Linked DNA regions of Arabidopsis thaliana. The protein of the gene in region 2 interacts with the protein of the main gene of each other region in a pairwise test. Each region holds a gene or a part of one and is shown on either strand. Other genes may lie near its edges. The genes, in order: CLF and EMF2.

The links.
Region 1: the proteins of EMF2 (region 2) and CLF interact in binary tests that used the Arabidopsis thaliana proteins (3 or more experiments, as listed by UniProt).

Annotation. Positions count from the first base shown.
Region 1 is NC_003071.7:9,950,080-9,966,131, reverse strand, and holds CLF (SET domain-containing protein), read right to left. Parts: upstream 11,041-16,052; 5' UTR 10,563-11,040; coding exon 10,500-10,562; intron 10,223-10,499; coding exon 10,130-10,222; intron 10,046-10,129; coding exon 9,744-10,045; intron 9,640-9,743; coding exon 9,478-9,639; intron 9,341-9,477; coding exon 9,256-9,340; intron 9,119-9,255; exon of another isoform or gene 9,085-9,118; coding exon of another isoform or gene 9,061-9,084; coding exon 8,926-9,060; intron 8,826-8,925; coding exon 8,778-8,825; intron 8,706-8,777; coding exon 8,634-8,705; intron 8,553-8,633; coding exon 7,852-8,552; intron 7,751-7,851; coding exon 7,600-7,750; intron 7,501-7,599; coding exon 7,277-7,500; intron 7,198-7,276; coding exon 7,066-7,197; intron 6,941-7,065; coding exon 6,850-6,940; intron 6,751-6,849; coding exon 6,703-6,750; intron 6,600-6,702; coding exon 6,471-6,599; intron 6,377-6,470; coding exon 6,299-6,376; intron 6,210-6,298; coding exon 6,015-6,209; 3' UTR 5,746-6,014; downstream 1-5,745. Other genes in the region: AT2G23400 (Undecaprenyl pyrophosphate synthetase family protein), read left to right, coding at 764-921, 1,231-1,468, 1,557-1,624, 1,711-1,830, 1,875-2,154; AT2G23390 (acyl-CoA), read left to right, coding at 2,656-2,718, 2,840-2,986, 3,151-3,333, 3,429-3,710, 3,959-4,080, 4,185-4,251, 4,461-4,511, 4,728-4,780 and 3 more; AT2G23370 (cyclin delta-3), read left to right, coding at 11,114-11,216, 11,353-11,436, 11,538-11,612, 11,695-11,737, 11,815-11,872, 11,969-12,136, 12,217-12,279, 12,359-12,453 and 3 more; AT2G23360 (filament-like protein (DUF869)), read right to left, coding at 13,405-13,914, 14,004-14,052, 14,135-16,052. UniProt on the Arabidopsis thaliana protein: Polycomb group (PcG) protein. Catalytic subunit of some PcG multiprotein complex, which methylates 'Lys-27' of histone H3, leading to transcriptional repression of the affected target genes, mainly abscisic acid (ABA) responsive elements.
Region 2 is NC_003076.8:20,818,741-20,834,671, reverse strand, and holds EMF2 (VEFS-Box of polycomb protein), read right to left. Parts: upstream 11,029-15,931; 5' UTR 10,714-11,028; exon of another isoform or gene 10,608-10,713; 5' UTR 10,520-10,607; coding exon 10,482-10,519; intron 10,310-10,481; coding exon 10,162-10,309; intron 9,945-10,161; coding exon 9,889-9,944; intron 9,743-9,888; coding exon 9,628-9,742; intron 9,531-9,627; coding exon 9,371-9,530; intron 9,279-9,370; coding exon 9,228-9,278; intron 9,021-9,227; coding exon 8,881-9,020; intron 8,677-8,880; coding exon 8,614-8,676; intron 8,524-8,613; coding exon 8,402-8,523; intron 8,160-8,401; coding exon 8,095-8,159; intron 7,997-8,094; coding exon 7,944-7,996; intron 7,836-7,943; coding exon 7,782-7,835; intron 7,699-7,781; coding exon 7,639-7,698; intron 7,219-7,638; coding exon 7,172-7,218; intron 7,089-7,171; coding exon 6,988-7,088; intron 6,821-6,987; coding exon 6,601-6,820; intron 6,445-6,600; coding exon 6,396-6,444; intron 6,321-6,395; coding exon 6,237-6,320; intron 5,891-6,236; and 7 more. Other genes in the region: AT5G51260 (HAD superfamily, subfamily IIIB acid phosphatase), read left to right, coding at 1,206-1,591, 1,751-1,960, 2,273-2,450; AT5G51250 (Galactose oxidase/kelch repeat superfamily protein), read right to left, coding at 2,823-3,929; AT5G51220 (ubiquinol-cytochrome C chaperone family protein), read left to right, coding at 11,547-11,714, 12,043-12,256, 12,354-12,520, 12,624-12,748, 12,891-12,951, 13,056-13,104, 13,206-13,267; OLEO3 (oleosin3), read right to left, coding at 13,966-14,086, 14,197-14,501; EMB3142 (nuclear pore complex protein (DUF3414)), read right to left, coding at 15,264-15,344, 15,429-15,546, 15,641-15,760, 15,919-15,931. UniProt on the Arabidopsis thaliana protein: Polycomb group (PcG) protein. Involved in flowering processes by repressing unknown target genes and preventing reproductive development.

The DNA.
Region 1 (16,052 bases), on a different chromosome or scaffold from region 2:
TCTTTCTCCGTGCTTCGCTTTATACGCATGTTTTATGTATCAGTTGACAGTTGTTACTAAAACCAATAACTTGCTAAACAAGTAACTTTAATACCTCAGATTCCTCTAGTTCAACAACATTACAATTTAAAACTCCAAACCATCACCCCAAAACTAGGCAAAGTTTCTGATTTTTTAATTAAAACATCTTCAAACCAATTCACTTTTTTTTTGCGGGAAATAGATTGATAAAGATCCAAATTCACTCGATTAAATGGGTCTAAGTGTCAAATCAAAGTATATTAGCCCACCTTTTCGACCACACAAAACAACTGAAGTCCCCAGAGAGTGACACGTCACGAAGCAAAAATCCATGAATCAAAACCTAAAGTCACCGTCGCGCACAGAAGGGTCTCCTTTTCCGATCCTCTTCAGAAGCACCAGACACAAGAAACCAAAAAAGGCTTGTTTCACAAGAAACCAATAAAAGTCTTGTGACACAAGAAACCAATAAAAGTCTTGTGACACAAGAAACCAATCACGTGGGTTCTCAAAGCCCTAATGCAGCTGGAAAAAGATAGATAAACCGTTACAAACATCGATTAACTTAATATAAATGATTCTCCACGGAAGAGTTTAATACGTAAGACCTGTCTTTGCGTAGTTTGATTGATCAAAGCGACGTCTTTGAATTCTTAGTATATATATGTGTATGACAAAGCTTCAATAACTCGAACAAATTAACATTAAAGCAAAGCCAAATTAAGCATTAGCAAGGACAAGAATGTTGTCTCTTCTCTCTACTCTAGTAGCCCTCCCCTTTCTGTTTCTCATCCCTTGTCTCTTTATCACAAGCTATATATGTTTCCCTGTGTTCTTGACAAAACTCCTTGGACTCATCAAATTCAAAGCCGCTCGAGACGATGATGACAACGAGAAACGGTAGTTTACGGTTTTTTAATCATACTTTTAGTTTTTAGTAAGTTATGTTTGTGGAATGTTTTGTAAATCTATAATTTGTAAAATGTTTTGTACAAGAGTGACATCATATAAATGGTATTTTTGAAAGTCTCCCGAGAAGAGAATCATAATTTAATTTCAATTTTATAATCACTAGTTAATATCTAGTTATCAACAGAAATTATACTACACAAGTACACATAGAGAGAGCCTTTTGTTAGAATTATCCCACATCGGAAGAATTTTTGGACAATATATATGTGTTTTAGCAATAATTTTTTGGTTGTATAGTGATGAGGCAACTTGTGTTGTCCGAGAGGAGGAGCTACAAAGAGAGCTGATGCCGAGACACGTGTCATTCATACTAGATGGGAACCGGAGATGGGCCAAACGAGACGGATTGACGACGGCACAAGGCCACGAGGCTGGAACTAAACGAATTATAGAGATAGCCGAGGTCTGCTTCGAGTTGGGTATTCATACAGTCTCAGCTTTTGCTTTCTCCACAGAGAATTGGGGAAGAGACAAGGTGTGACATTTTACATTGTAGATCTCACAAGTAGATTATATTCTCATACAATTATAGACACTAACAAATTTTGTTGTTATTATATAAGTTTGAGGTTAAGTGCTTAATGTCTTTGTTCAACCACTACCTCAAGTCCAACATTCAATACTTTCAAAGGTATATATACAAATTCGATTGTGATTCTTTTGTTTTGACATATTCTCTCTGGTTATTCATTACCAAGAATTATCTTGTTGTTACAGAAAGGAAGTTCGCGTTTCTGTTATCGGGAATAAAACGAAGATCCCTGAATCTCTCCTCAAAGAAATCCATGAGATAGAGGAAGCTACCAAGGCTACAAGAATAAGCATCTCATCATGGCAGTAGATTACAGCGGGAAATTTGATATCATGCATGCTTGCAAGAGTCTTGTGAAGAAATCAGAAAAAGGGTTGATCCGAGAGGAAGATGTAGACGAGGCATTGATCGAGAGAGAGCTTCTAACGAATTGTAGTGACTTCCCAAGTCCTGATTTAATGATTAGGACAAGTGGAGAACAAAGGATTAGTAACTTCTTCTTGTGGCAACTTGCTTATACCGAGCTTTTCTACTCGCCGGTATTGTGGCCTGATTTCGATAAGGATAAGCTTCTAGAGGCCCTCGCTTCGTATCAGGGCAGGGAAAGACGATTTGGTTGTCGCGTGTGATCCACCTTTCATCCTCTTTATTCATCTATAATTTCTATCAAACTACTTGCTCTTTGTTTCACGTTTCATTGTAATATATGTCTTTAAATCGGATAAAATCAGTGATGTCTTTGCTTCTCCTTCTACGCATGTATCAGTTTGTTACTAAAAATCAATATCTTGCTATACAAGAAAATATCTCAGAAACCTAGTTCTACAGCACTAAAATTGAAAATCAGTCTTTGCGGGAAATAGTTTGGGCTTTAAAGGTCCATGTCCACTCGATTTAATGGGCCTAGCTGTCAAATCAATAGCCCACCTTATCGACAACGCAAAAAAATAACTGAAGACCCCAAAATTGACACGTCACGAAGCAAATAAACCAAATTCCCATGAATCAAAAAAATCATCAGCGACCACTGTGACTCCACTTGAGCGCCGGAGCCGCCGCCGTCGCCGTCGCGTCGGAACTCCATTTTCACGTTCCTCTTCAAACACACCGACGCGTAACCAGTTTCGTCCATGGCCGTTGTACTTTCCTACTGCAAACCTTCGCCTCCTCTTCGTCGATTCCATCGTCGCTGCGTGAGTTTTTCTTTGGCTATGATGTTATCTATGGCTTACTCTTACGAATTCGTAGCTATACAATTAGACTTTTGGATTCAGATAATTCAATCTCATCATCATCTTCATCATCTCTCTGTAGGGAAATTTGTGGAAGAAAGAAAATGTTAGGAGTTCAAGACGATCATCTTCGGTTACTGCTATGTTTTGGAAGTCCAATAAGCCTGCGGAAGTAAAGGAATTCGATATATCACTTAGAGATTACACTCTAACTGAATCAAACATTGAGGTATTTCAATCTCTTTGTTGATTATTTTTTATGTAAACAGCTTTCAGACGCTGTTAGCTACGAACTTTTCGTGCCAAATTATTCGCTTTAACATTTCAATTTTCTTTGTTGATTTTAGTTGATAAATCATCAGTTCTCTAATAGTGGTTTCGTTTCGAGTTTAGGAAGCTTTGGAAAACAAGCCGAAGCAAAAGGTGATTTCACTATCAGTTGTTTCTTCAATATTTGAGATACCACAAGCTGAATGGGATGCATGTGCGTTGGATTCTTCTCAACCTGAAAGCTATAATCCATTTCTAAGTTATGGATTTCTTTCCAGTTTAGAAGATACTGGTTGTGCCGTTCGGGTTAGTGAAGCAATTTCCTTTATTCTTCAACCGAAAGAAGCAAGCATAGATGTTTGTCTTTCTTATGGGAATTTCTATCTGCAAAATGTTATTAGGAAACAGGTTGGATGCCATTACACATTGTTGCAAAGGATGAATGTGAGAGTATTTTGGGTGTTGTTCCACTTTATCTCAAAAGCCATTCTTATGGCGAATTTGTTTTTGATCATTCTTGGGCTGATGCATACCGAAGTTTTGGCGGAAGATATTATCCTAAACTTCAGTGTTGTGTTCCTTTCACCCCAGTTACTGGTCCTAGGATTCTTATCCGTGATAATCCTTGCAAAGAGCAAGTTTTTGATGCTATTGTTTCTGCCATGACGGAATTGGCATCAAAGGTATGATCTCTATATGAAATCTATCTGTGTTATAGATAAAAACAAGACTTGGAACAGGATTAAACTTGTGATCTCATGGTATACAGAACTAAGGTTCTACTATTTATTAGCTATCCTTATTACTATAGGAACAATCTCACATTTTACTTTCTTGAAGCTGTAATGGTTCTCTTGTGTTGAGTTCTGCTTTCAACATATGCTATCTGCTGACTGCTGACAGACTAGTTGTATTCTGTGGGCTTTGGCAGTTACAAGTTTCATCTTTGCACATTACATTTCCGTCTGGAGCTGAGTGGGACAAATTGAAAGAGAAAGGCTTCTCACAAAGGATTGGAATGCAGTACCACTGGAAAAATCGTGATTATAAAAAGTAATTGAAGTTAGTTGCCAGTATATTAGTTCTTAACAATGACTGGATTGGAAGTAGTTGCTATTATATTTTGTTCATTTTTTTTTTTATCTCTAATACTTCAGTTTTGACGAGTTCTTGATGGACATGAAGCAAAGCAAAAGGAAAAATATCCGACAGGAACGCAAAAAGGTTTGTTTAGTTTCCTCTTTTCATATCATCCTCATTGTGCAATTTATTCTTGTCTCTTAAGTTTCTTTGCTCATGTGAATAGTAAAATGGAATGGTTACTCTTTTTTTCTTCCCATACAACTTTTGAATTGTGGCCTTATTTCGTTATCCGTTCCTTGTGGCGTTTTTCAAGCACGCTGCTGACTTCTAATGCTCCTTTTCTCTAGTAGATTGGTACCCAGAATTTGAAAATGAGACGGCTACAAGGAGATGATATAAAGGTATGTAACTGAACTGCCACGAGACGAATTTGTTGTAATTGATTATGCCTGGCGGTATCTTTTCATTTTAATGGCTATAAATAATCAACCATGGGATATCAATCTGCTACCAGAGGTTAGAACTGATGGCACATGCTATAAAGGACATTATGGGGCTTTTATATTAATATGTGTCTTAAAAATTTGATTCATCGTTTGTGCCTAATGTTTTTGCAGGCTAGGCACTGGGATTCCTTCTATGATTTCTACAGGAACACAACTGATAACAAGTTTAGTCTTTATCTTTGAGACATTTTTGTTTTTCTTATCATTAGTACACATTATGTGTCTTTGTGCATAATAAACATACTTACATTCAATTACCTGTCATCGTCAAGTGTATGCATTACCTGTGTTTGTCCTTTCACATGCTTAACGATTTCCGGCTAATTTTAGATGGGGCACACCTTATCTCACAAGGGATTTCTTTCACGACATGGCATCGAAGTTGGGAGACAAGGTATTGCTTGTTTTAGCTGAAGAAAACGAGGAACCTGTTGCAGGAGCATTGAATCTCATTGGAGGAGATACTCTATTTGGGAGACTATGGGGATGTCGTCCCGACTCCTATTATCCTAGTCTCCATTTTGAAGCATGCTATTACCAGGTTGGTCTTGTTGTTTCAAAGTCTCAAGAGTTTTCGCCGAGACATACTTGATTAAAACTCACAAACTGATAATGGGATTCATAGGCAATTGAAGCAGCGATAGAGCTTAATCTGAAAACGGTAGAAGCTGGAGCGCAGGGTGAGCATAAGATTCAGCGAGGCTACCTTCCCGTTAAAACATATAGTTGCCATTACATATTCGATGAAGGTTTCAGGCAAGCCATAGACGAGTTTTTAGTGCGCGAATCAAATCAGGTATGTTTTGAAGTTATGGTGTTAAAAGAGTATATAAACATAGCTATGTAATTGGATCATCGACTTAAACAATGTAACTTTGTGCATCGCAGATGGATTATGTCATCAGACTGATGCATGAAGATGGACCCTTCAAAGAGAAAATAGAATAGATGCATTTATATCTTGGTTATCGCAAACATTCTTGTATATCTTAATTCTTAGGTTTATGCGTCAATGTACATTTTAATTTGGCTGCTCATGTTCGTTTTCTGATTTGGTTTTGTTACTTTCTGATCACCAAATGTACACTGACGCCTAATTTAATTTATATAGATTGTGATGTGTGAGGAATACCACATTGATGTCAGCTCCAAAGCTCACCAAGTTTCTCATCTGTAATTTAAAAACTTTAACCCGAGTCTCAGTACAATAAAATGATAATCCAGAAATGTAAAACGAAAAAAGGAAATTTTAATCCAACGAATACAATTTTTCTTTAGACTCAGCAAAATGTATGAATTTGTTTCAATGTGTTCTTCCGTGTGGAGAGTAATGAGGATTAAAGCGTTCTTCCACCTGTAACCAAAGAATTGACAAAAAAATGGTTGTTTCTTTTGTTGCTAAGCAAGCTTCTTGGGTCTACCAACAGAAGGTGTAACATTTTCGTCTTTCTTAGAACCAGGAGCTTCAGGTTTTTTGGCCCAAGCTGGAGCTCGATCTGGCTCATACCGGTAATCGTAAAATAGTTCTTCTCCAGCCAGTATCCTCTCTTTTGCGAAGATCCCCACCCTGTGATCTCCAGCAACCATGATGACCTTGAACAGATACAAAGATTTTGAGGAAAAACAGAACATACCCATCATGCGAAAACCGTATCTTTAACTTGCACTTTTCACATTTTTACCTTTGCGTAACAGTTAGGTTCAGGAGAATGGTTGGCGAATTTCAGTTTATCTCCTTTCCTGTAAGCATCTAGCACAAACTGCAGCACAATCCAAAAACATTTTAAAATTTGAAGACAACCTAGAGACTAGAGAGAAAGAGAGTTGGGACATTTCAAAGCTGCTGAGACGTGCCTGATCGTTTAGATTGAAGAGAAAAGAGCAGTTCTCGCGATCGTATATCTTCCCGCGTTTATCTGCCTCTTTATGTGAGATCAGCTCTCCTGTGTATTCCCCAAGGTATTCATGCTTACTTACACTGTTCTGTAAGAAGGAAAAATAATTGTTCTTAAGGCAAGTTCATACTCTAAACATAGATTAATCTTTGAAGGACTTATCAGTTTAACAAATTTTGAACCTAATATACCTTTAAGAAAGCTCCCCAACCAGAAACATCAGATATTCCAAGTAAAACCTGAAATTAACATAAAAAAGAGGAGGAAATTTAGCCATTTCATGTTTAATCATTTGATTGCAGATCATAGATATTTAGTTAACAAGGCTAAGTATTTACCCTTTGTTGTTGTTTCAGGAGCAATTTCATATTCCTGCACTCATAATTATCGCCTCTTTGGCTTGGGACCCCAAGCGAACCATCCCCACCACTACACATTCAAATTCATTCAGACACAGTATAAGTGCATCTGGAACTACTAAAAAAAAAGTTGCATTTCTTGAGCATTTTCTAAGAAACCAATTAGGATGGATTTGCATCCCCAATAAGACTTACATGACCCAGCAGTTTCTACAAACATCTGGGTCACATTCCCGATCTGCAGCAAAGCATGGACACTGGCGGCTTCGACACTGACTTTTGGCACAATGACAACCTCTAAACCTATTCTTGCAGCTCTTTGGGCAACTACACAGAAAATATAGTTTGTTGGTAATGAGATTCAAAGCTAAGAAATACAGATGTGGATAATCATAGATTACATTACCCGCAGTACTTCTCGCAGCAAGTCCCGTTTAGCAAACAAGGACATTCCTTCCCACAAGCAATTTTGCAGTTACATGGATTAAACTGACGGCAGGGCTGGTCTTTCTTCTCAGTAATTCTTTTCCTAATTGAATGATATGCAGCAGACTTCCAGGTATACTTCAAGCGCCGCACTTTGCCTCTCCTACGTAGAAATCTTGACCTTCTCCTCACTTGGTTATTAACCTGGTTAGTCCAGAAACTAAAGCATTAAATCCGAAGAGAAATAAATCGATTTTATCAGGAATTTGTAAACAAAGTCAAAAAGGTTTAGTGTTAATATACCATATTTCCATTGATATCGAACTTGGAAGAGCCATCAGGATTCAATCCATCACCTCCAAAGAAGGAAGCTTTATTTTCCGAGCACGTCATGTATTGGAAGACCTCCCAACATGATTTGAAACCACTCAAAAGATTTCTAGCAATCAAGCAGCTGCAAAGAAACAAAGAATCCATATGACTATATTCCACAAATTGAAAAACCTGAAGCAGAATGATAATTTAGCAGTAGCTAAATACATCAAAATTACCCACCTATTCATTCCAAAAATCTCAACACCTTTATCAAAAAGGCTTTTCTCAAGTGGTCTCCACAACTTATTTGTAGCCAATCTTCCTCGAGATACAGTTTCACCCATAAACTCTTCTTTCCTTAGACTTTCATCACTACCCGGCGCATCAAGCTCTGACGCAACCTCATTTGACTGGCAAACAGGAACGTCATCCTTCACAGAATTATTGGAGACTTCGGCAGGAGTGCCATTCTTCCTTGACTTCCCGGAGTTCCCAGATTTTACATGCTTCTGAGAAGAGGAAGTAGCATCTTCATTATCTTTATGTTTTGCATCGCTGGGTGAACAACTTCCACTGGCGATGGAATCACTATCCGAGGCTTCTGTCTTCTTCTGCCTCTTCTGAGTCTTACGAGGAACTCGCTCAGCAACTCGGTTTTTGTTCCTCTTACGACCTACTCGTCTCCCACTACCTTTCACCTTTGGCGATGATGAAACTTTATCGGAATTGGTATCCTGCTGTAGTCCATTCTCTGAGTCACTTGTTTCTAGTGCGCACTTTTCATTAGACGATGCACTTTCACTTGGGAAGGTCTTTGGTTTTCTCCCATTAAGTTTGCTGGAGAACTTCGTGGGTGTGGTTTTAGTACCTGCACCATCTGATGAAGTGCCAGTTTTACCTTCAATGGTGCCATATCCCGGAAATCTTCCAGACTTGAGAAGCTGATAAATTGAAAACAACGCTTTTTGTTAAACCAGTCTTTCTAGGAGATGAGCTTAGCAACGAGAAAATAACAAATTTACCGTTTTATAGCAGTTTGCACCACAGGTTAAATTTTCATCTACAGGAGGACACCATGGAGCTGGTTTCTCAGCCTAAAAATCCATAAAATTAGATAAGTAACACTAAAGTTATAGTAAGATTTTTTCGGTTGGCACTAAACTCACCGGAAAAATGAGATCCTGTGAACACCCATGAAGCCGGCAATCAAATACCTGCATAGATGCATACAAAAGTTAAAAAGAGACCAATGTTTGCTCGATCATTAAGCAATAACCCATGAAACATTAGCCTGAGAAAATCAAATGGACTAACAAGGCATCTACGGCAGAACAGGTTATCGAAAGAATCTAATGCTCCTTCCATATCTTTGTTGAGAAGGGAGCTCTCTGCTTGATTATCGCCACTCTCGGATACTTCTTTTTCCTTCATAAGCACTCCATGTCTTGCCTGTATAAGATGGTCGGTGTTCATATCTCTGCAAAAAGCCAATTGGGAAAGGGCTGGAACAATACTAATTGGATTTCCTTAAACAATGCATCCCTCACTCTGTTTTGAAATCCTACAACTGAAGTGCTTGATTCTAAAGAAAATAGCACATGATAGTTCACACAAGCAATAGGCAGAGAAAAAAGTTGTTGATACCTTGATTTCACTAGTACTTCTAGACAAGAAACTTGCTAGTTCCGCCAGGACTGAGTCTGAAAGACCTAGTTGCTCAAGGGTCATGCTGAAGAAACGAAGGGAAATTTAATCCAACAATATAAGTGAGAACAAACCAGCATAACAGTTGACATAGCAGACAAGAGATTCACACTAAGAGACCAAAATGCAAGAATGATTAAACTCCTGCCATTTAATACTAACCGAATAATATAATCTTCAGGCTCCAAAAAATCTCTTTTTTCTTCTTCGTCGTCAATGGCCTCCTCTTCACTATCACTGCAGATAAGCGCTTCCCCGCCAGTTTGATCATAATAAATTCTCCTTCGACCCACTACAGACTGGTCTTCAGTCATTCTTTGATTTCTGCATCATTTCAAGAGTGATTATAACGTTAAGATACTATGCGAGGGGCTTACATTTCAACTTGAATATTTTCAAGTACTCTTGCGACATTAATGTCAACATACCTGTCCAGAAAAACCCATGTGGTATAAGGTGACAAACGTTTGATATCAGGCATTTTGATAGGACGTAAGGAAATTTTGACAGGGACACTAGATCCTTGAACCATTCCTGAACTGGCAGGTCCATCTTCTACATATCTGTTGTTATTACTTTCATCGATTCCGCTTTTCATACCTGGCGAATCTCTTTGCCTCTTAACTAAAAGATCACTGCCATCTTTACAGCTACCTCCTCGTTCCATAGAAGACCTCATAAAACTTTGAGTAATAGCAAACAAATTCTTCTTGTTTTCATCAATCCTTTTCTGGTTACAAACACATCAATTTCTAACAATCAGATTCAGAAACACATAAAACATACAAAAAAAAAACTAAACAAAAATAGCAACCTTTATTGATATACACCTATCAGCTGCAAGCTTCTTCTTTAGCGATTCTATTACTTCTGATACTTCCTTAGAAGCTGGACCTCTCTCCTCCGCCTGAAACATCAAAATGAGGTTCCTTTACACAGTGTTCAATGAGAGAAACTATCAATTGCAGCAAAAATGGTTCCTAAACGAACCCAAAAACAACTTCATATCTCACAATCCAGCAATCTCTAGATCTAAAAACGAGCATATAGAGAAGCTCAAACAAGCCATCGAGTTTCGTTCTCTTCACTCAAACTAAAGCAAATCAAAGTCAATGCCTCAATAGCACAAAGAAAAAAGTTCCATTTTTAGAAAGTAAGAAAAAAAAAAAAAACGATTGACGCACCGGAGAGTCTTTGGGTGGCTCCGATCTGGTGGCCGAAGAAGAAGGCGAAGCTTCTGACGCCATTGTCAAGAAACCAGATCGGAACCGAAACAAATGCGGGTCCGGGTTAAGATCCGGGTCGCGAAATCTGAAATGTTGGAGGAGAGAAGGAATTTGGCGGGTCGTTATAAACCCTAAAAATTTATCTTCAATTTTGTTTTTATTTTGGATCTTTTATCTTCAAATCCAAAAAAAATTTCGTTTTACTTTTAAAGAACATTGTTTACGAATTGGGAAGCGTGTAAATTAGAAACTTTTTCCAATTATTTAAAAAAAAAAAAGTTGGTGGGAAAATAGCGACGTGGCAGCTCGATTTGAATTATCTACTGTACATCTCCGGCGACGGTTTACCGGAATATCACGTAGCTCGAGACAACGAATCTACTAGAGTTCGAGACTGGTTCTATATCAACTGAACAAAACAAACACGAACGTTGCTGGGCTCTGATTTAATGGGCTCTTAAACCCTATTTGTTTGGGCTTTATTTTTTGTTTTTTTTTTCAGCAACAGCTTTTCGAAGTCTCTCTGTAATCTCATCGGACGAGAAACAGTACGGCGATCGGAAAACTCTGAGATGCATCGCGGCGCGGCGGTTTTCGGACGGAAACGTAGACTGATACTTCTCCATGGCAGCAGAAACTTCGCCAGATCCTTTTGCTCTTCTTCTTCACTATCTGGTGAGAGGGATTCACATCTTCGCTATTTCATTTGCAACTTCTGGAAGCTGTGCGATGGCTTGAGATTGGTTTATGATTCTTACGGTGCCGAATTTGAACAATCAGTGAATCGAAGTTAACGATTGATTATGTGCAGAACATGAATGTTTCATTAAGGATATAGCAAAAGCTCAGCCTCCTAAGCATCTGATGCAGCTGCTGAATATATTCACAGCTAGAGGTAAATCAATCTTACACTGACTTGCTGATCGTATTTTCGAAGTTTTTGTTTGTTAACTTGCGGAATGGTGACTTTTGCTTGTGGTAATGACATTGGATCAGGTAAATCCATAGTTTCTCCTGGTGCCAAGCAAGGCTTGTTACCTCTTACTATTCCGTTGGTGAAAATGAGCCCGGGTATGATTCTGGACTTGTACATAAGTTCTTATCTGAGGTTGTAACACTTTCATATTAAGTTTGTATGACTTTCCTTTTTCAGGTTCTTCAATTGCTCTATTACGGTGGCCAACAGCTCCTTCTAGGTTAGATCCTCCTTGCTTTTTTAATATCGTCATGTTTCTCTTCTTTTGTAGCTTATCATTGTTTGTGGTGTTTGCAGTATGGAGATGCCTGTGGTGGAAGTTCAGAAACATGGGGTTTGGTTTCTAGCTAATAATGTAATGAGTCTTTTTATAGCATTACTGATGCGTTAATTTAGGGTTATTTTTGTTGAGTGTTCATTCTCATATCTGACTTCATTGGCCAACATTCAGGTTGATCAGTTCATTCACAGAATATTGGTGGAAGAAGATGTTTCCAAACCCGAAGAATGCAGCCAAGAAATCTTCAATGCTGCTGGTGAAGCTGGGAAGAAACTTTACAGTAAGGGTGACTTTGCCAGTTCAAGACTGATGGATTTAGATGCCTATCTTTTAAGAAAGGTACATATATTGAGCCTGTTAATATCAGAATCTTTTCTGCACATGGATACTGGGATATGATTATTAGCTTTGTAATTCAGGTTGGATTGTTTCCAGATTCTCTTGAACGAAAAGTTATTCGGCATATCGAGAATGGAGACCATGTAAGGCTAGTAATTATATCTATCCTGTTGTAGTTGACGTGTTTTCTCTTTTTAAACTATCTTCACGTGCTAATACAAGGTTTCAGCTTTGGTGGCTACCGAGTTTTATACAAAGAGAGGGAACTTTCCCGGATTTGCCCGGCCATTCGCTTTCAACGCAAAAGTTTTACTGAAGTTCGTATGATCCTTTCTCATCATCCCTCTTTCTCCCTTGTGAACGACCCCCAGGTAAATGCTTACGTCCTTTCTAGAAAACTCTAAGACCTCTATATATTTTGTAGACTTGGGCGTAACTTAGAAGCGAAAGACGCAGCTAGGGGTGCTTTGAAATCTTCGTGGTGGACCTTAGGATGCAGATATGAGGTACAATTCCTTGACTATCGACAAGCAATTTTGGTAATCGAAAAGAGAAGGGAAAAAAGTGTTGAACATATGAAACGGGTTCCCAGGAAATTGCTCAAATAGCAGAGTGGGGAGAAGAGCAAATTGCGCAGTATAAGGAGAGAGTTACAGGAGAAGGAAAACAACGGGATATAGACAGGGGAAAGCCAATGGCTCAGGTTTGTTCTTTGCCTGTATTCATTATCAGATACTCATATCATGCTTATGGATACAAAGGCTTGAAACAAAACTTGTAATTCTCAGGCATCTTTGGACGAGGCTGCGTTCTTACTGAATCTAGCGTCACTTGAAGGGACATGGGACGAATCACTGGAACGGGTTGCTCAGTGCTACAAGGAAGCTGGACTTAACGACATCGCCAAGTTTGTTCTGTACAGAGATTGAGAAGTCTCTTTTAAAGGCCACAATTTGTTCTTTTGAGACCTGAGATGACATTATATCAAATGATCTTATGCATTTAGTGTCTACGTTGAAGATTTACATTAACCCTGCTAAAGATTCATTGGGTCAAGATTACTGATTGTATCCTTTCTGAGACTAAAAGTGGAATAAAGCAGAATGATCATCTTATAGAGTAATACTCTACGTGGAGATTATATATATACTGCCAAAAAAATCTAGAAAATGACAGTTTAGTTTGCATAGTTTGGGTCTTTGGGACCATATAAAGAAACAGGATTAAGGTATTAGATTATAGTCTAGATGACAGATGCCACCATCTTCTTAGTTGGCAAATGGATTAGGGACCTTCTTGCTCTTACCTTTCTTATTTCTCCCCAACAGCTTTCTCCAGAGGCTCTTAACTCCGCCGGTCTTTTTCTGAGGAACAATGGCAAAGCAGTTTGAGTCGGAGCCTTTGCTTTTGTCTGAGAGAAGAATCTGTTCTAGTGCCTCAATGGTTTCATTGTAAACAGAGCTGTTTCCTCCCTTTCCGTTTTTATCTGCTGCTTGCGGTTTCTGATCCTTGGATTCCCCGGTGTTGTGATCTTCTGCCTTCATCTGATCCAAAAGAGATGATCTCTGGCTGGTCAATCTCTTCTCTGGTTTAGTAGTCTCATGTGAAGGTTGTGCATCAGGTAGGTTGTTCGATTTGTCTGTAACGTCGTACATGAGTGTTTCTGAAAGTAAAGCTGTTTCCTTTGAGTTAGTCAATGCCTTGAGCTGCTTTCCCAGGTTTAGAATCGTCTCTTGACACTCGGCCAACTTTTCTGAAGCAGCAGCGATTTCCAATTCCTGAATCATCAAACACATAAAACAGATTGGTCTTGGACAAAAACAACTCTCAATGTAATGGTATCGATTTTCTTCTGCTTGTAACTTACGGTTCGCATGTTTTGTTTTTCCTCCAGCTTGAGCTCGTTCTCTGAAGCACTGCAACAAGAAAACCATTGGATGCATCAGAGATAAAATGTATGATTTTGCTGACATGAAGTCTTTAAGCATTCATATTTACCTCGCTGTTTTGTCATTTGCCTCTTCTTCAACCGTTTTGCGCGACAAGTTTTGATTACCAGGTTTGTCTTCAATCAACTGATCTTTGCAAGCCAAAAAGGAAACATCTTCCGTTCTAAGCTTCTCTGCTTCTGAAACCTGACGAAATATTCCAATATCAACTTCGCTTCCGCTCCGTGATTCATCCCACTCGAACTGCTTCTTAATCTCATCTCTCATGGTTGAAACATCTTGAAGAGAAAAACAGTGGTTCACCATCCATTCCAACACAGAGCTTAGCTCTTGAGCAAACTTCTTCATGTCTGCTTTTCTGTCTAATAGATCGTAACAAGCTTGAAGAAATCGCTGCAATACACTACTTAGCTCTGTAGTTTTCCATTGCAAGACGCGAGCAGTGTAACCTGAAAGCCTTTCTGATTCTCTGTTGGACACATGCCTCTCATCTTTAAGACTGACTCCCTCGATAACGTCAATGATTCTGTGAATTGATTTGCTGATATTACACTCCATATCCAGTCTATCCTCCACAGTAAGAGTCTTAGTCTCCTGATGGTTTGTAGAAAAGCTTGAATGGTTTACACTTGACAGAGCTTTTCTGATATCTTCAAGTACTTCATCAGTGTTTCTCTGCGTGATATGCTTATGCTCCATTACCGCTTTCAAGACTATATGAAGAGATTGAGGTAACGAATCTGACTTGATATCATCTTTGGGAGATGCATCAGGATTCAATGAATAAACTGTTCCAGAAGTTTTAGTTGCTTCTGATGAATTCTCATTAGATTCGTTCTCTACCGGACCAGTAGCTGAAATAGAATCAGAAGAACAAATAGGAGAACTTCCAGGTCGGTTATCGATTGTACTAGCAACCATTGCAAGCTTCTCCATTTCAGCAAAATCATCCATTAGTTTCATCTCTGCAGCTTTAGGGGTTCCAACCAAACTCGTGCCCATTTCCTTCTTGTTCTTGAAATTGTCCAACTCTGAAAGTAAAGCAGAAGCCCAGGAATCGGCACAGCTAACTTTATCATCATTGTCAAACTCTGTTACGGATGCAAGAGAGACTTCATGTGACACATTGCTACTCCTGCTTGGCTCAATGTTTGTACCTCTAGAAGATTCTTCAAGATGAGACTCGAATTCTAGTAGTCTAGACGCTGTTCGAGAATACATATTTCTCGAGAACTGAAGCTCACTGACTTTCTTGTTTAAGGCTTCCCTTAGAGTTTTGTTCTCTTCTTCCAGTAAGCATAATTGTTCAGTAAGGTTATTGATTTTTTCGGAATCAATCATCGGACTATGAGGGCTTCCATTGACCCTTCTCCTTCCCAACATCTCTACTTCATTGCTCATTTTAGAAAGAGCAGCGGGTCCTGGTAACCGTTTCCTGACCAGAACCCGTAACCTTTGACACTCTGATTCTAACTTTGCAACTTTCTTCACATTCTCTAAGTGCAGTTTATGCGATGCTTCAGCAGTTCGACGGCTAAACTCTCTCTCTTCATTCCGAAGCTCGAGCTCTTTCTCCAGCACTCGAACTTCATATCTCAATGAAACGTTTTCTTTCTCTTTCGACTCTAAACTACTCACCAAAGAATTGAAATCAACCTCTATACGGTCCCTCTCTCTGTTTAAATCTTCAACAGTTTTGTTCTTTGCTAACAAAGCCTTTGAGAGTTGAGCATTCTCGCCTTCTGCTTCAGCAAGCCTCTTACCACTACCTGCCAATTCCGTCTTTATAACAATCAATCGCCGTTCGTACTCCTGTGATGCTTTTGTCAAAGCATCATGCATCCTTCGCTCCTGCTCCTCACGAACAAAACGAAGCTGCTGCACACATTCTTTTAGACCAGCATCCGTGTGACTCGACCTTTCCTCACTCCTGTGTTTTTCATTCAAAGCTTCATCAAGTTTCTTTT
Region 2 (15,931 bases):
TGTGATCAACGAAAATAATTAAAATTTTAACACATGCTAAATAGTGTTTATTGACTTTTTCTCCAAACGTGAGATAGTTTTGGTCATAATACATTAATGGTATAATTAATCAGCCCTTATAAACACGTTATTGGTTAAATAACTTGAAACTTATGTCACAATCAATTCCATTAACACTCCACGCGTAGGCGTAGCTTAGCGTGCGTGCAACTATCCGCTATCATAAGTTCCCATTATCACTAGTATTAAACTTTGGATTAAGGATCTTACTCAGATTTTATAATAGTTTATGAAATTTTGTTACTTTTATAGTCTCTTAAATCAGAAATTGACTTCATTAAACAGATCGTACGAAATTTTCTGATCAGTAATTCTTTTTTCCTTTATAATTCATCACATACAAACATAAAATGAAAAAAGAAGAAGACATTTTAGAAATAACTTAAACTCTACATCTAAACTTGAATACCATGTCTAAATTAATGTATTATTTAACATAATAAAATGTCTATTTAAGTAAAATTAAAGAATAATAAAACTCGAATCACATAACAAGCCTTCATTGCCGAATAATTTAGACATTAAACCAAATTAACCAAACATTTTTTTTTTACCAGACTATTATGTAATGCATATTTAAAAACTAATTACGTCAGGTGAAATTAAAAAAAAAAAGGTATGACGCCGTCAAAGGACCCGGTAGTGGACCCAACGGTGCATCAACGGAATCCGGATCTACCCAATTGTATCTTAATTTTAGATCCGAACCCGAAACGAACAGATTCTTTTATTGGATTAATTAGTGAAAAATAAATAAATAGGCTTTCTTTTCTTACACGTCACCGACCGACCACTCCTGTCTTTGACATTCTCCTCCACTGCTTTAAATGAAAGAAACAGAGCACTGTTCCGATTCTTTTCATTTCTCCATTGAAATTACAATTCAAAGCTTTCTTCTTTTGTACGTTATTCCATTAATCCAATTTGAAACTTTCAAAATTTTCCCTTTTCTCTGGCTTTCGAGTTTTTCTCGATTCCTTTCTCCATTTTATTCTTTCCCCTCTTCTTCAACATCTCAATATAAACCCTAATTTTGATTCTAGTTTCTCAATTGGTGTGAATTCTCAGAAATTCAGAAAACCCTAATTTCGTTTTTTTCTCTGTTCGGTTTTTTTTTGATTGATTCGATTTCCTTTGATTCTCCGATGAGGATTTATCTGATTTTCCTCGTGGTGGTTTCCTTATTTACCTCCGCGTTTTCCGATTCGATTCTCGAGTACCCGTCGGAAATCGAGAGTCGACACAAGAAAGCTGCCGAAGAAGATGTCAATTTGCATTGTACGACCTGGAGATTCGCGGCGGAGATGAACAATCTCGCGCCGTGGAAAACAATCCCGGTGGAATGTGCCGATTACGTGAAGGACTATGTGATGGGTAAAGGCTACCTCACCGATTTGGAGAGAGTCTCTGAAGAAGCTTTGATCTTCGCGAGAAGCATCGAATTCTCCGGCGATGGCAAAGATATTTGGATTTTCGATATCGATGAGACTCTCTTATCCAATCTTCCTTATTACATTGATCATGGTTTTGGGTACATTCTCTCAAAACTTTTACTTTACACATTTTTATCTCAAACTTGGTTTGGTTTGTGTATGTTCATGTGATTCTTTTGCTAGAGAAACTCATAAAAGAGGACAATTGGTTATAGAAAATGCTTGACTTTGTTGATTATGTTTTGGGAATTTTGAAGGTTGGAGCTTTTTGATCATTCGGAGTTTGATAAGTGGGTAGAGAGAGGAGTGGCACCAGCCATAGCACCAAGCTTGAAGCTTTACCAAAGAGTGTTAGATTTGGGATACAAAGTTTTCTTGCTTACAGGGAGGAAAGAGAGTCACAGGCTTGTCACTGTTGAAAATCTCATCAATGCTGGTTTCCAGAACTGGGACAAGCTTATTCTCAGGTATAATTATAAACAAATGCAGCTTCTTAGGTTGTAACTATACATGCTTCTAGGTCATGCCATGAGTTTTTTCGTTATGCAATGGTTGATGCCGGTGGCATATAGTTTGATAAGAAACATGGGTAGCTCTTTGATTTTAAGTCATGCAATGAGTTTGTTCGTTATGCAATGGTTGATGATGCTGGTGGATCATATAGAATTCTGGATCTCTGCAAATGGTTTGATAAGATATCTTAGACATATCATCATCAGTTTTGAACATCCTTTGTTTATTCGTTTTGCTTTGCCCTCGTGTCTGTGTGTGATGTGCAGATCTCCAGAGGAACAGCACAAAATGGCGACACTATACAAATCTGAGAAGAGAGATGAGATGGTGAAAGAGGGATATAGGATTAGAGGCAATTCAGGTGATCAATGGAGTGATTTGTTGGGTACCTCCATGTCTCAACGATCTTTCAAACTCGCAAATCCAATGTATTATATCCCCTGAAGGGCTTTATTTGACGACCTATATAAAACATTTCAAAAATCGTATATACTTACTATTAGAGCAATCAAAGTGTTTTTAAAGTTGGATTGCCTTTGCTTGTAACTTGTCAAGCTACTAAATGTACTAATAACAGAGAATGCTCTGTTTTATACAGAGTAGATAGTATATAGTACTACTCGTTTTAACTTCTTTTTTTCACAATGTATTCGTGATCATCTTTAGTTACACTAAACTCTAGTAAGCCAAAATTAAAACTCTTTAGTTTCTTTTTTGTTGACATCAAATAATAAGAAGTGCATTAAGAGAAAAAGTCACATTCATTATCGTTGCATACTCCAAAAGAACACATGTTCAAGCCTTGTGGCACATTCATCACAAACTAGCAGTAAGAGCCTTAACGAAAACATGTTGTTTAGGGACTGTAAGCACATGATCAAACCACTCAACCTTTCCCCAAAAACTAAAATTTAGGTGCCTTTTAAGCGCAATCACGGCACACCAAATCATCATCTCATCTCTGCCACCAGCCCCACAAGAAGGGCGATCCTCTTCCCATAAAACCGCCATCTTTCCACCATAATCAGCCAATCTAACAAACATATTCTCAGGTAAACTAGGTAGTCCTAACAAACCTTTCAATATTCTCCACATTCTTAACTTAGTATCATACCATCTGAACACTCCGCGATGAATATAGAACAAAACATTATTTATCTCGCAAAAAGAATATGAAGCCCTCATACCAAACATCGTTGGTATAGCCTTGTCCCATCTACCTTCCTTGTAAGCATACACCACTCCGTGAGTCGTCTCCACGTGAAACTTTCCATCAATACATGCGCTTTTGGAGTAAAAAATGCCTTTTGTCTTGCTGCATGGGATGGGCTCAGGATGCCACACTTGTGTTTTTGTGTCGAACACCTCGAACAAGTTCTTACAGGAGTTGGAATCGCCATTGCCATCTTTGTAGCTTCCTGCTACATATATCTTTCTGTCAAGGACGCTAGCAGAATGTGACATCAGCTCCACCCGCAAGCTTGGAGCCTCGCGCCACATGTGAGACTGGGAATCCAGAATCGAGACACTAGACGAGGAGGGTCCTAGGTAAATGGATCCACCAATGTTGTAGATATCAGAACCAACCGCCACGAGACTTGAAAAGTTTGCAGGAGGAGAATGGGGAATTGGCACAGTAGCCAAAACATACCCATTTGACTTCTTCTTCTTACTGGTGTCATTGGTTAGGGTTCCGTCAGGTTTCCGACAGAGAGTGAACCAATGTGTGTTAGGGCCAGAATCAAAATGAAAGCACACGTAGAGACAACTCTCAGTGTGGCCTAAGAGTGATCGGGCTTTGTAAAGGTCCGGTGAAGCTAGTAGAGATCGGAAGCTCTTGGAGACAAGAGAGAGAGTCGGATAGTACAATCTTGAGATGCGTGCGAAGATGCTCAATAGCAAATCATCGGGAAGTGACGACATGACTCTACTGTTTAAGTTCAATATGACACATAAGTTTTTCCTCTTTTTGTTTTCAATACTTTAGAAACAGATAAGAAAATAAAAAATTGAGAAAAGAGCATGTATAATTACTTGAGCAGCAATCTAGGGTTTTTGCCTCGGATCGGATCGAAGCAAAGGTAGATTATTTGTTGATCTCAAAGCGGATGCTACAGGAAGAGCGATTTGATCCTTCGCTTCCTAGGGATGATAGATCAAGAGCGCATTGAGTAAAGCATTTCAGTTCATGTGGATAAAATAGATATCACAGGGGTTTTTGTTCCCATAGATTGTTTCCTTTAGGGTTTGTAGTGACTTCTTCACAGGCCCCGGCCCACATGGCCTAAAGATTTTCTAAATCTATTCTAAATATTGGTGATTGACAGAACAATGATGAGACTGAGATTGATATCCCTGAAGATTTGCTGATAATTGAGCACGAACATCTAGAGAAGAAATAGTAAAGGAAGATTATGGAGACTCATTTGCAAAAGAGAGTGATCATAATTTCTTTGAAGAGAGAGATCGAGCTATTCTAAATCCAACAAACCAAGATGTTAATATGATTAACGAGTAATTAATATGCTATATCACATTATATCAGATAACAACGTTTTTTTCTTCTAATACCCACATTAGTTTATGAATTTTATAGGAATTGATTAGCTATATATTGCCATGTGTAGAATTGAGACGTCGGTTACAAACACAACTGATATTATGGTTTACTCTCAAGAGTTTCTGAATAGCATCAAATTGTTTAGATTGACTAACAACAGTTTGCGACTGAAGATTGGTGGCCCTCTCATGTTACTTGGAAATATTGATCATAAAATTGATCTATGCAATGGCACTAGGTTATATATCATTCAGTTGGCTAATCATGTTGTTAAGACTAGATTTATAATATATAATAGTGTTAGTGCTAAAGTACTCTTGATCCATACGATGCTTGTCTCTCAACATAAGCAAGGTTCCCTTTTTGAGAAAGTTTTTGATTTTGCAATCTAAAAAGGTGAGCTTGTTTCTTCTACCAAAACTAATATTTTTTCATGGACATATGTTGATGCATGTTTCCAGAGTAACATCCATGTCTGGTTTCCAGTGTACAAAGTCAATTAGTATTTCAAGTTTTCAACCATATGATATCCTAAATGAGTAAGGAACATGTATAAAGCATTACTCGAAGAACAAGCGTCAAAGATAAGCCAATGTACACATTTATAATTAAAAAAAAAAAAAAAAAAGATGAGGACAAATTCATGCATAAATATGCTCCTCTTTCTCTTAAAACACCAAAAGTAGTTAAATGAGAACCCAAAACTCTTCTTCTCTTGTCTTTCTTTGTTTTTCTACTTAAATTAATGATTTCTTGGGTTTTCAAATTTGGAGCTGTTCGAGAAAGGTATTACAGTTGTTCATGGTTCGGGCATCAAGAAGACCGTGGTTCCACAGTTTCACCATAAACACTCTCCAGCACCTACACAAAAAAAGCTCACTTTTATCAACAAAACCGCTTTCTTCTCCGATACACTGGAAAAAACAATGGAAGAAATGAGAGTTGAATTACCAAATCAAGTGCGGTGTTCGAACCATGATGGGTCCGTGCAATCTTGAGAATGCCTCGCATGCCCATGGAATGTGACCATCTGCTAATACTCTGCAAAGGGTCCAAAACCACTGTCAAGGTAATGCTTATAATGAGTCAGAGAACATGGATGCGTATGTTATCTAATTGTTCAGTTTTTTTTTTTTAACCAGAAGAACTCATGCAGGAATTATCCACAACCTTTACATGCGCGACTCTAAATGTTTATACTGGAAAACTCCACGTGACATGTACTGAAAAGAGATAAGACATACCGCTGCTTCCTCACAAACGAGTTCCACATGTGCATCATCTGTTTCTCATCTTTAGTCACATCAACGAAATCATCGAGCATCTGAAAGAATAGTAATAGGAAATAACGTTATTCACTATATGGAGAATCAGACAAACTATGTTAGAATCAACTATGTTAGAATCGAGTACAAACGGACACACTTCGTCTTTTAATGAGTGTTATATAAGCACTAATGATCTGGTTCTACTGTTCCATATCAAACCGTGAGGCTTGCTCACATATTTTCTATTGATCTCTGAACCATTACAATATTGCTCCTAACGTTTGCCCATGCCCAGTCTTCAATATTCCTTTCCCTTTCACATGAAACATATATCTACCCAACTACTGAGCTTTATTCTACCCAACTACTGATGCGGTGAAAATATTAAATTCAAAAACATACCCTTCTATCTTCAAAATCTGCCACATCATCATCAACTTCATCTTCACTATCCCGGTCCGAAAGTACTTGTTCTAGAGCCATGGGCTGCGATAGTACACATAGCAAAGTCAAAATCAATTGCAATCTTCAAAAGCAAGAGAGCTAAAGAAAAAAGATCACCTGAGCTCGATGAGAGTGGAAGAACTGTCTCTTCTGAAGGAGGCTTCGGCTGGAGGAGGAAAAAATTTGAAAAACTCACTCACATCATTTGGGATTAACAAGCTACTTGTTATAAAACTAGGACACAATTTTTCATGCATGAACCATATGTAGTTAAATATAAATTGAAGAAGAGGATAGAACGACAAAAGGAAGTCAAACATACTTCCTCAAGTCCGACCGTTCTATAGATATTTTCCTCGTTTTTGCAAACTGCAACATTGTACTTCCAGCTATCGACTGCACATAATCTGGATCCCCACATGATTGCACGTCTGCAGGACTCGTGCCAGGAGGAACTCTTTGACCAGACTCAGCACCCCCAATTCTTTCGTAATGCTTTCCAGGTGGTATTCGGCTCTTCTCACTTCTAACAGAATGAGCATCTGAAAGTAAGAATAAAAAGCTGTGCCAAATGATCCAACGTTGTTGCATGCAAAATTGCACATAACAAAGTAAAATACTCGTAAAATATACAACTAAGACAGGCTCTCATCACAAAAGAAGCCAATACTACAAATCCAATTAACTGTCATTTCAGTCAAACACATACCATCAGTCTTATCTAGCACCTCGCAACCTAATCCAAGATGAGGCCCTTGCCTTGAGCTCCGTACCTGACTCTTTTGCCTCCTCCGTCTGAATTTTTTGGAACTGTCACATATTGAAGAATTTTTATGGTCTCACACAGATGCTGGAAAGATAATAAAAGGCAACATATAGGCCAGATAACTTACGAAAAAAAGAAAGTTTGCTGCTTTGGGTCAACGTCATCCTCATTAACCTGAGCAGATTTTTTAATGAACATTAACATTTAGAAAACTGTGCTAAGAGTAATCATCAAATAGGAAAAACTACAAAGACATAGAATATATTGTAGAACCAACTACTTCAATTAGATTTGACACTCCTATATAATCCAGGACTTTATTCTACAGTCGAGCTTTGACGGTCTCATGGCCACAAAAAGTAAACAGAACAGCGATGTCATTTTGAGTTTATTCTCATCACGCTATTAAGGACAATAGCAAGGATCATAGTGTGACAAATAGCAACTAAAGATTCCAGTTCCCTTATTTAACCACACAAAAGTCAACAACCCATGGAGGATATTAGTTTAAATGAAAAATGAATTTGTTACAGCCTATAAGATATACAGCAGAGAAACTAATGAACATAAATCGAACAAACAAGATGTTCTAACCTTGGATATCATTGTCTCAGTCTTGAGGGAGACATTTACCGCCTGAAATTCTTCAGTTACCTAACCAAGTAAAGCAGATTAGTGGCACCCACAAAATAAAAAAAAAAGATCAAACAGGTTAACTGAATTTTAAAGCTACAAACCCAAAACTCGAAATTGAGGAGATCGTGGGTTGATGGCAAGTGATATCTCAGGCCCTACAACATGATTGGGAGAAAAAGAAAAGATTGCATCACTACAAAGACTAGTCACTACAGCTGTATCTTTGACTAAGAGGATGAATGAGAATGGAAATGAAAGTCCACCTTGAAACTGGCACATTTTACTAAGCAGAATGGACAAGAAAAGTCTTCAGTTACTGCAAGACACATAGCAAACATATACGTAACAGGTTAGGGTAACGGATGAAATATAGACACACATGGGTATGAAACAGGTTAAAATAATACTAGTTACCTTCAGTCTTCTGCAATTTGTTGTTATAGTATCTGTAGTTGAAAACTACATTTCCTGTTCTCAACCTATGCAATGAATGTAGTGGTATAGAGTCAACTTAACGAGATGGACATTTTTAGTTGTACGTAACGACTTGTATAATCCCCATAAAAGAGGAGGACAGTCACAATTCAAGAAAACTGCCAACTATATATTAAGGGAGATAGCAGACCGGCCAATATATTTTATACAATTACAAAAAATCATAATGAGATGAGGCAAGAAATCTGAGAGCGCAGAAGAAATTGCAGACTAAACTGAAGATTACCTGATAATTTGCAACAAGGAAGAGGAAGAGATGTCATTATATGAAAATGAACTATAAGGAGATTTTTCCGTTGACCCAACTTCTTCTGCAGATATGGTGACTTGCACTTGCTGCGGAGAGCTCTTCAAATAAGAAGTGTAAGAATTGTAAGAATATGATTACATGATATTTCAGAATAATGTATGGAAGTATAGCAAAGTGTGCAAAGTTACCGAGGTGAGTGGATTGCTGGGCACCTGAATCGAGACACACTTTTCCTCACTCATGGACTTTAGCTGCAGCAATGGACAAGTTATACCAGTAATATTTTCATTTAAATAATCAAGACTGAAAACTAATGGCAAAAATAAAATTCACAGTAGCAATTACTTCCAATTTACTTTTTCAAATAACAAAAGAAGTTCAATACACAGTCCTTATTTCAATACAGGGAGCATAAAGTCATAGAACAAGAGGAAGACTTGGGCAATAGTGTTTACCTTTATGAAGCAAGGCTGCATTTCAACAAGAGAGACTGTGTCTACTCTCTGTCCCAAGTCCATGTTTGGTGATTTCTGCCACGACGCATACAGTGATTGCAGAGGTATTTTGCTCCATAAACAATGTCCTCCTATATTTCCTGGCAGAAAAAAACGCTTCCGATGGTAAGAGTTAATGAAAAAAAAGACTTTCAGAAACTCTTATAATTGGAGTCAAAGAATCCCTAATTCTTTTGTTAATAAATAGGACTGAGATTTTCCATACTATTACATGGAAAATTGGTAATGCCCAAAGATACATAACTTTTCAATATTAGAATGTTATATCAATGAAGAAATGGAAGTACCTGAATGAATCTTGCCTGAATCAATGCCAAATTGAGAATTTTGCGCACCAGCTACAAGAAGAAAATTATGTGATCAGTTTATCTGAATACTGTACATATATAAATGTCTTTATATAATTTTGTACACAGTCAGTCTTAATCACCAAAGCTGATAAACAAGATAGCGAGTGATCCTGATTTTGCCTCCAATGCGAGTCTATTCATATCAGGGAGAAGAAAGTTGGCTTGGGCTTGACTAACTCCATCAACCCCCAATCCACCAGTTAGGATACATGCTCGACTGAACCTATATACTGCAGAATACTATAATTTGAGAATTTCAAGAAAAATGTTAGCAAAGAATAGGTAAGTTACAAATAATAAAGATCAATGCAAATCTGTCTGAGGTTCAAATGCATACCTCAGCGACAGGCTTAGGAGAAACGAGTCTTGCCAACAAAATATACAGAGGGAATAATTTTTGAGTTTGTACCCCAGCATCTATAGCGCCCGAGAGGAATACAGTCATTTGTATTCTGCAAAGCAGTAATATATATTGATAACTATCCGAAAACTTAGAAAGCATTCAAGTCCGGAATGAATTACTAAGGTATAGTGTAATAGTTACCCAAAAGTAATGGAGATTCTGAACAGAGAAAGGAAGGAAAAAAAAAAAGCTTACCTCCTTTTATGTTTTGCCTCAATCTTATAATGCAAACATCGCTGAAGAAACAAGGGCTACAGGGGAGACAGAGAGAGAGAAATGATTAGGATGGACTGCATAGCAAGACAACACATACTTGCTTATACCAAATGAAGTCAACTCAAACTACATTTTCATGTAAATTTTCATTGTCAAAACTCAAAAGTAAACCAATACATGTGATATATCAGCTGAGCTCATAAGTCATAACTAAACATATTCTGTCTAAAAAAGGTAGGAAGGAAGACATACATTCCTAATAGCACGGCGTTGAATGATATTGTAGAGTTCAACAGGCTTGCAATAGGCAGCCAAGCTCTCTTCAGCAGCAATCTCCTCCTCTTCCGAAATACGCAGACGGGAGTCTTCATGGCACATCTGCTCTGTGCTTCTTGAACAACTGTGATTTCACCATCATACGCAACCAAAATTGTAAGCAACCCCACAACAAAATAAAAATTTGATAAGTTTGAATTACTAGGATTCCTCAGCTTATACATAAGAGAAACAGTATAAAGTTACACAATGCTGCAGAGACATTATAGAAGCATTAGGTTGTTCATGAGACTTACGAAGAGGTTTCACGACTAACAAGAGGAATGCCTGGCATTCTCGCTACGAGATCCTAGAGTACAATACCATACCCAGAATCAGTGCATACACCATCACAGATTACAAATTTGCTTCAGCTACAAAAGCTGCAACAAAAATCGTAAAGAAGAAAAACCCAATAAATCCCACAACAGCAGAAACGGGTATCAAGCGATTAGCAGGAAAAAAAATGTAAACTTGAACAGTGGTGACCTTCAAAATCCAGCAAAGACTCGGAGTTGAGCTAATTAGATAAAGAACAGATTCAACAAATTGACAGAGATCTCGAAATCAAGGAGAAGGTGAAGATTAGGATGGAGATGGAACAGTTAACTCAGAAGAAAAAAAAAACCCTAATTGTGAGAAATTATCTTCACGCGAATACAGAGGTGACTTTGACAGCTTGAGAGAGAGAAAGAGAGAGATGAAGCGTTTCGAAGAGTAATAAAAAGTGTAAATTGATGATATTGTTGAGGAGACCGTAAATATTTTTGCTCTTGAGAAAATAAGCGTAAACCATGTCCTAAATCAGTAAAATTCGGTGCACAATAAAATCTAATTAAAACTCTTTTCACTAATTGAAACTAAATTCCCCAATGGCCATGAGAAAGCATAATTTCTTAACTATTCAATATAAGCCACTTGAGTTCAAATTAGAGATCCACCAAAAAAATGGATGACAAAGTAGTCATAGTTCCTTATCCCCCTAAAATGATAATGGTATAAACAAACATATTTTATGGTATCATCAACTCTTACTATCTAAAATCGACCATCAGTTTCGTGTCACCAATATCGGTAAAATGTGTTTGTTTTTGCATAACCAAGGTTTTCCGTTCCTAATAACGGCGTAAGTTAGCACTGTAATTGAATATCTGGCCAAATAGACGCTAACGTGGACGACTACCTAGCCCCATCATCAATCACACAGAAAAGGAGTCGGAGAGGGTTTTTCGCCTAGGGTTTTAGAATTCGATCTTACTCATTCAAATTTCTCCCTTCAGATTTATTCATCTGTTGAGTAAAACCACAAGGGTTTCTCTCTAATGTTGCCCAGATTAGCTCGAGTCGTCACTCAAACCTCAAAGCTTCGATCTTTGACCACTAATGGATCGATGAAAAATCTCTCCTTTTTCTCCCGATATGGGTACGCGACTGTTGCGCCGGCGGCAGCTGATCCTCCGTCGCAGAAGGATTTCCCCAGTAAATCTCCGGTATGATCTTAAAGTGGTAACATTTTGTTTACTCAGATTAAAGATCTCGTTTTCAGAAGTAGCTGTTAATGCGTAGTTGTTGTGAATGTTTAGGTCTCACTATAGTATTCGAACCTAAGCTCAATTTGATTCTCTCTGTTTCTAGTTTCATCGAATGCGGGACTAAAGTGACTTCTGCCTCCCCATTGTACCTCATTTAGGATTCATCCCTTTTTTTCTGTTGGAGTTTCATTAGTATGTTTGTGATTTAGATTCATGCTCTTTTAGTCAACTGCTTCTGGACAATCGTGTCTTCTTTGATGAAAAGGATTTGTTCTATGTTTGACAGATAAACTTGGATAAGATGTTTTGGTCAAAGCCATGTTCATTGGCTCTGCCTAAAGACTCTCCTCTCAGAATTGATGAACCAGACTATGTAGGGATTCGTCGTTTCATACTAAAGATGATGATGTTCTATAGCAAACAGAGCATGTCTATCCGTGGGGCTAACGTGATCTACAAGCGGATCATTGCACAAGTTGATAAACCTGCAATATATGATGGTACTTTATTTGGTTTCCAACACAACTTTTGCAAACAGAGTTATGTATTTACATTTTGTGCTTTGTTTATATATCGGGTGCTCTGTCTCTGCTGCAGTATTCAACTTGGAGAAAACATTCAAAATAACGTATTCGCTGCTTGTCCTTCATATGTGGCTTGTTTTACGCCGCTTGAAGGAAGATGGACAGGAAGGTGTTGACCTTGGTCAATACGTCTATGAGATCTACAATCATGATGTTGAACTCAGGGTATCTAAAGCCGGGGTACGTGCTAGACTTGGTTTTGCTTTAATATAGTTTCGAAGAGATATCTTAGTTTCTTAGATTCCTTAAAATAAGATGGTCTTAATCTTTCTTGAAATTACAGGTTAACTTGCTGCTAGCCAAGTGGATGAAGGAGTTGGAGAGAATATTTTATGGAAATGTTGTTGCCTATGATGCTGCGCTACTTCCGGAAGCTAAACCAAATGACCTACAAATCAAATTATGGAGGTAAAGCTTCTATAACGTCATGCTTTATGCAATGAGTTCGGTAGAGATTACACAGCTAAGTAGCTCGGCTTGAATTTATATACAATATGGCAGCCATAGATAACGGATTTGTCTCAGAACCTTATATGCAATTGGATTGTAGGAACGTATTTTCTGATGATGGAACAACAACACCTGATAACACAGATTTAAAAACAGCACAGGCATGATTTTCTCCTCTCTATCTCTCTCGCAAACACACACACATTGACATACTAGTTTAGGCATTGTGTACCAAACTTGTTAAGACATTGCTTGTGTGTTTCAGGCAATGGCAAGATATGTCCGGAGAGAACTTGGTTCTCTTTCTTTAACAGGTACCTATGACGCTATAGTTGGAATGCCTCATTATGTTACTCGCATTTGCATTTCGAATAGACATGCCTTTTCTTATATGGTTCTTTTTTGTCATACACAGATAAAGAGTCCATATTCTCCGGCAATTTCTCCTTCACCCCTTTGGAGAACAAGCCCCTGTGATTTGAATGAAATTAGAAGAAGCTGTGGTGCTTTGCGAATCAATCTTTCATTTGTTTCTCTGTTTCATTTGATTTACTTATATCAAACCAAAGAAACCTACACAAGGGAATGTGCTAGCTGTTAGCATCCAGATGATCATGAAAACAATGTGAAAGTGAATAAGATTACTGAATTAGAGCATTTACTGTCATTGGTATTTGGTACTTTAATTGGCTTACTAATGCTCAAAATCTTTTCTACAAGGCGATAGCCGATTGTAATTACTTATCTGCCATTCAACATTTTATGATCTTGTATTTGAAACAGTATTATAACTATAGTATGTTAGATCGTGGAATTCATCATCTTTATTAAATTCTTCTTTTTGTTGGTCTTTGAGGTTAGCACAACAAATGAATTGGTACCACATAATAGCAGCGCTTTTATAGAGAACAAATGTTCATGGTTAAAGATTTCTGCTAGCGTAGAAGGAGATTATGAAGATTTGTGTAATGTACCAATGACACTGTCTATATGAAGATTTCCGCTCGCATAGAAGGATCAAAACATTACTCATACAACAACAACAAGATTACATCATACATTGCATGTTATTATATATCACACATTACAACATAAACGTTGAAAATAAAAACAAAGAGAAGAGATCTAACGATGGATGACAATTTAATGTGGAAATCGTTTTTAGCCTTTGAATTTTAAGAAACTTGTTGGTGTTGGACTCCAATGTTGTGCTGCCCATACTTAGTATCCTGCACTCTGCTTCCAACCTTCATCCGAGCATTCTCTATCTTATCCGATCCAGATCCCGTCATGTGCCTAAATACAATGACCATATTCTCCAATATTCAAACTTTCTATAAAATATAACGTGCATTGCAAGCTCGGTTTGAAACGGTAGGTCACATTTTGTGTGGGTCGTAAATTACCTGTAGAGCCAAGAGAAGGCGGTAATGGCGGCTATTCCAAAGCCACCGGATGCAAGGAATCCGGTAATGATGAGAGCAACGGTTACCACTGCTGGAACCAAGACGGGGCTGAAGATGACGAGGAGAGGAGTAGCCACCGTGAGTGCGATGACTGTTCCAGCGAGTGTTAAGCCGGAGAGGACAAGTAGGGATCCACCGGCTGTGACAGCGGTTGCTGCCTTCACCATCTGCCTGGCCTTCGGATGGGCCTCTTGGGTACTGTCTCGGCTTATCATCTCGTGATGGGTTCTTGTTTGGTCCGCCATTGGTTCTTTTTATTATAATATATCCCTCCAACACAAATAGTAGAAATTAGCAGAGAAAAGGTAGTGATGTGTTTTCGGAGTAAGTAATGATGATTTATGAAGGAGAGGAGCGCTGGTGGGGCTCGCTTGAGCCATGTCACGTGTCAAAAGTGTCTTCATGCAGCCGTTGCATGTGTTAATGAGTAGAGATGGGTCTTTTTTGCGACACGTACGTCTGGGTCTTTTTTTTTTTTGCTATAGTACACAACATGGACCGGGACATAAGTCACGTGATGGACGTTATTATCGATCGGTCGTGATGTTATGGTCACTCCCATTCCCCCACTCTATAGAACTATAGAAGCAAAGAATTAAAAGGAAGTTCGGAATCCACATCCATTAAGCCAATCGGCCCAAAACAACTTGGCTCACAGAGAATAGTATTAGTAGCTCTTCAACTCAAAGGTGTGAATAGTTAAGATTGTTGTGAATTAGTAGCTCTTCGCCTCAAAGGTGTGAACGGTAAAACTTAAAGGTGTGAATAGTAAACAGAGAATAGTTAAGATTGTTGTGAAAAAGAAAAGCATTAAAAGTGTGAATGGTAAAACTTTTGGCTTTCATAACTTTAAAATTAAGCTGGAGCTTTTAAAGTTTTTTCTCAAGAGTCTCAGAGAAAGTATCATTTGAAATCATGTGGATTTACTATTTTGTTATACAGACTCATACTACAAATTTAGATTTGGACATTTGACACACAAAAATACATTTCTTGAGAAGCTTATTTCATACACACTTTTGGATGGCCATTTCTTTTACAGTCGTTGCCAGTCTCTGGAACACCTTCAGGTTATGTCCTACTTTTCCCTGGGATAGACAAATCGGGTCACCACCACCTTTCACTTTCAGCACATAAATAATCGAAAACTCTCGAAAATCGATTAGGCTTACCTCATTCAGTAATGCAAGCCTATCTATGGTAGGTGACAATTTGCCACAGAGATCTGTAACTTCCTGTTGTATATGGGATTTTGAACCATATGATCCCCTTTCATTTGAACTAACGGATCTGCATATGTGAAGTGTTTAGCATAGTATCTTAGAGCAAACCCGTAGATTTCCAAACTTTTAAGATATCAATTGTTGAAGATAAAGTGGCATACCTATCTTGGAGATGGATCAGGATAATATTTAGTACATGCTCGGCAAGTTGCAGTAACAAGGTGATTAACTGGTCCCTGTTACCCACGATTTGGCACATTTCAACCATAGCTATGTATCTCCTGAGGTAAGTAACAACAGAGCCACGAACAAATAAAAACAGTGGTCAAAACGTCTTACTAATCACTGATAGAAAAAATCTGGAAAAATTCTATGTTAATACCCATTTCTGCTTTGGCATATGCACGCATGAGCGAGCAGAAGAAAGAAATTCACTAACCTTTTATGTATGT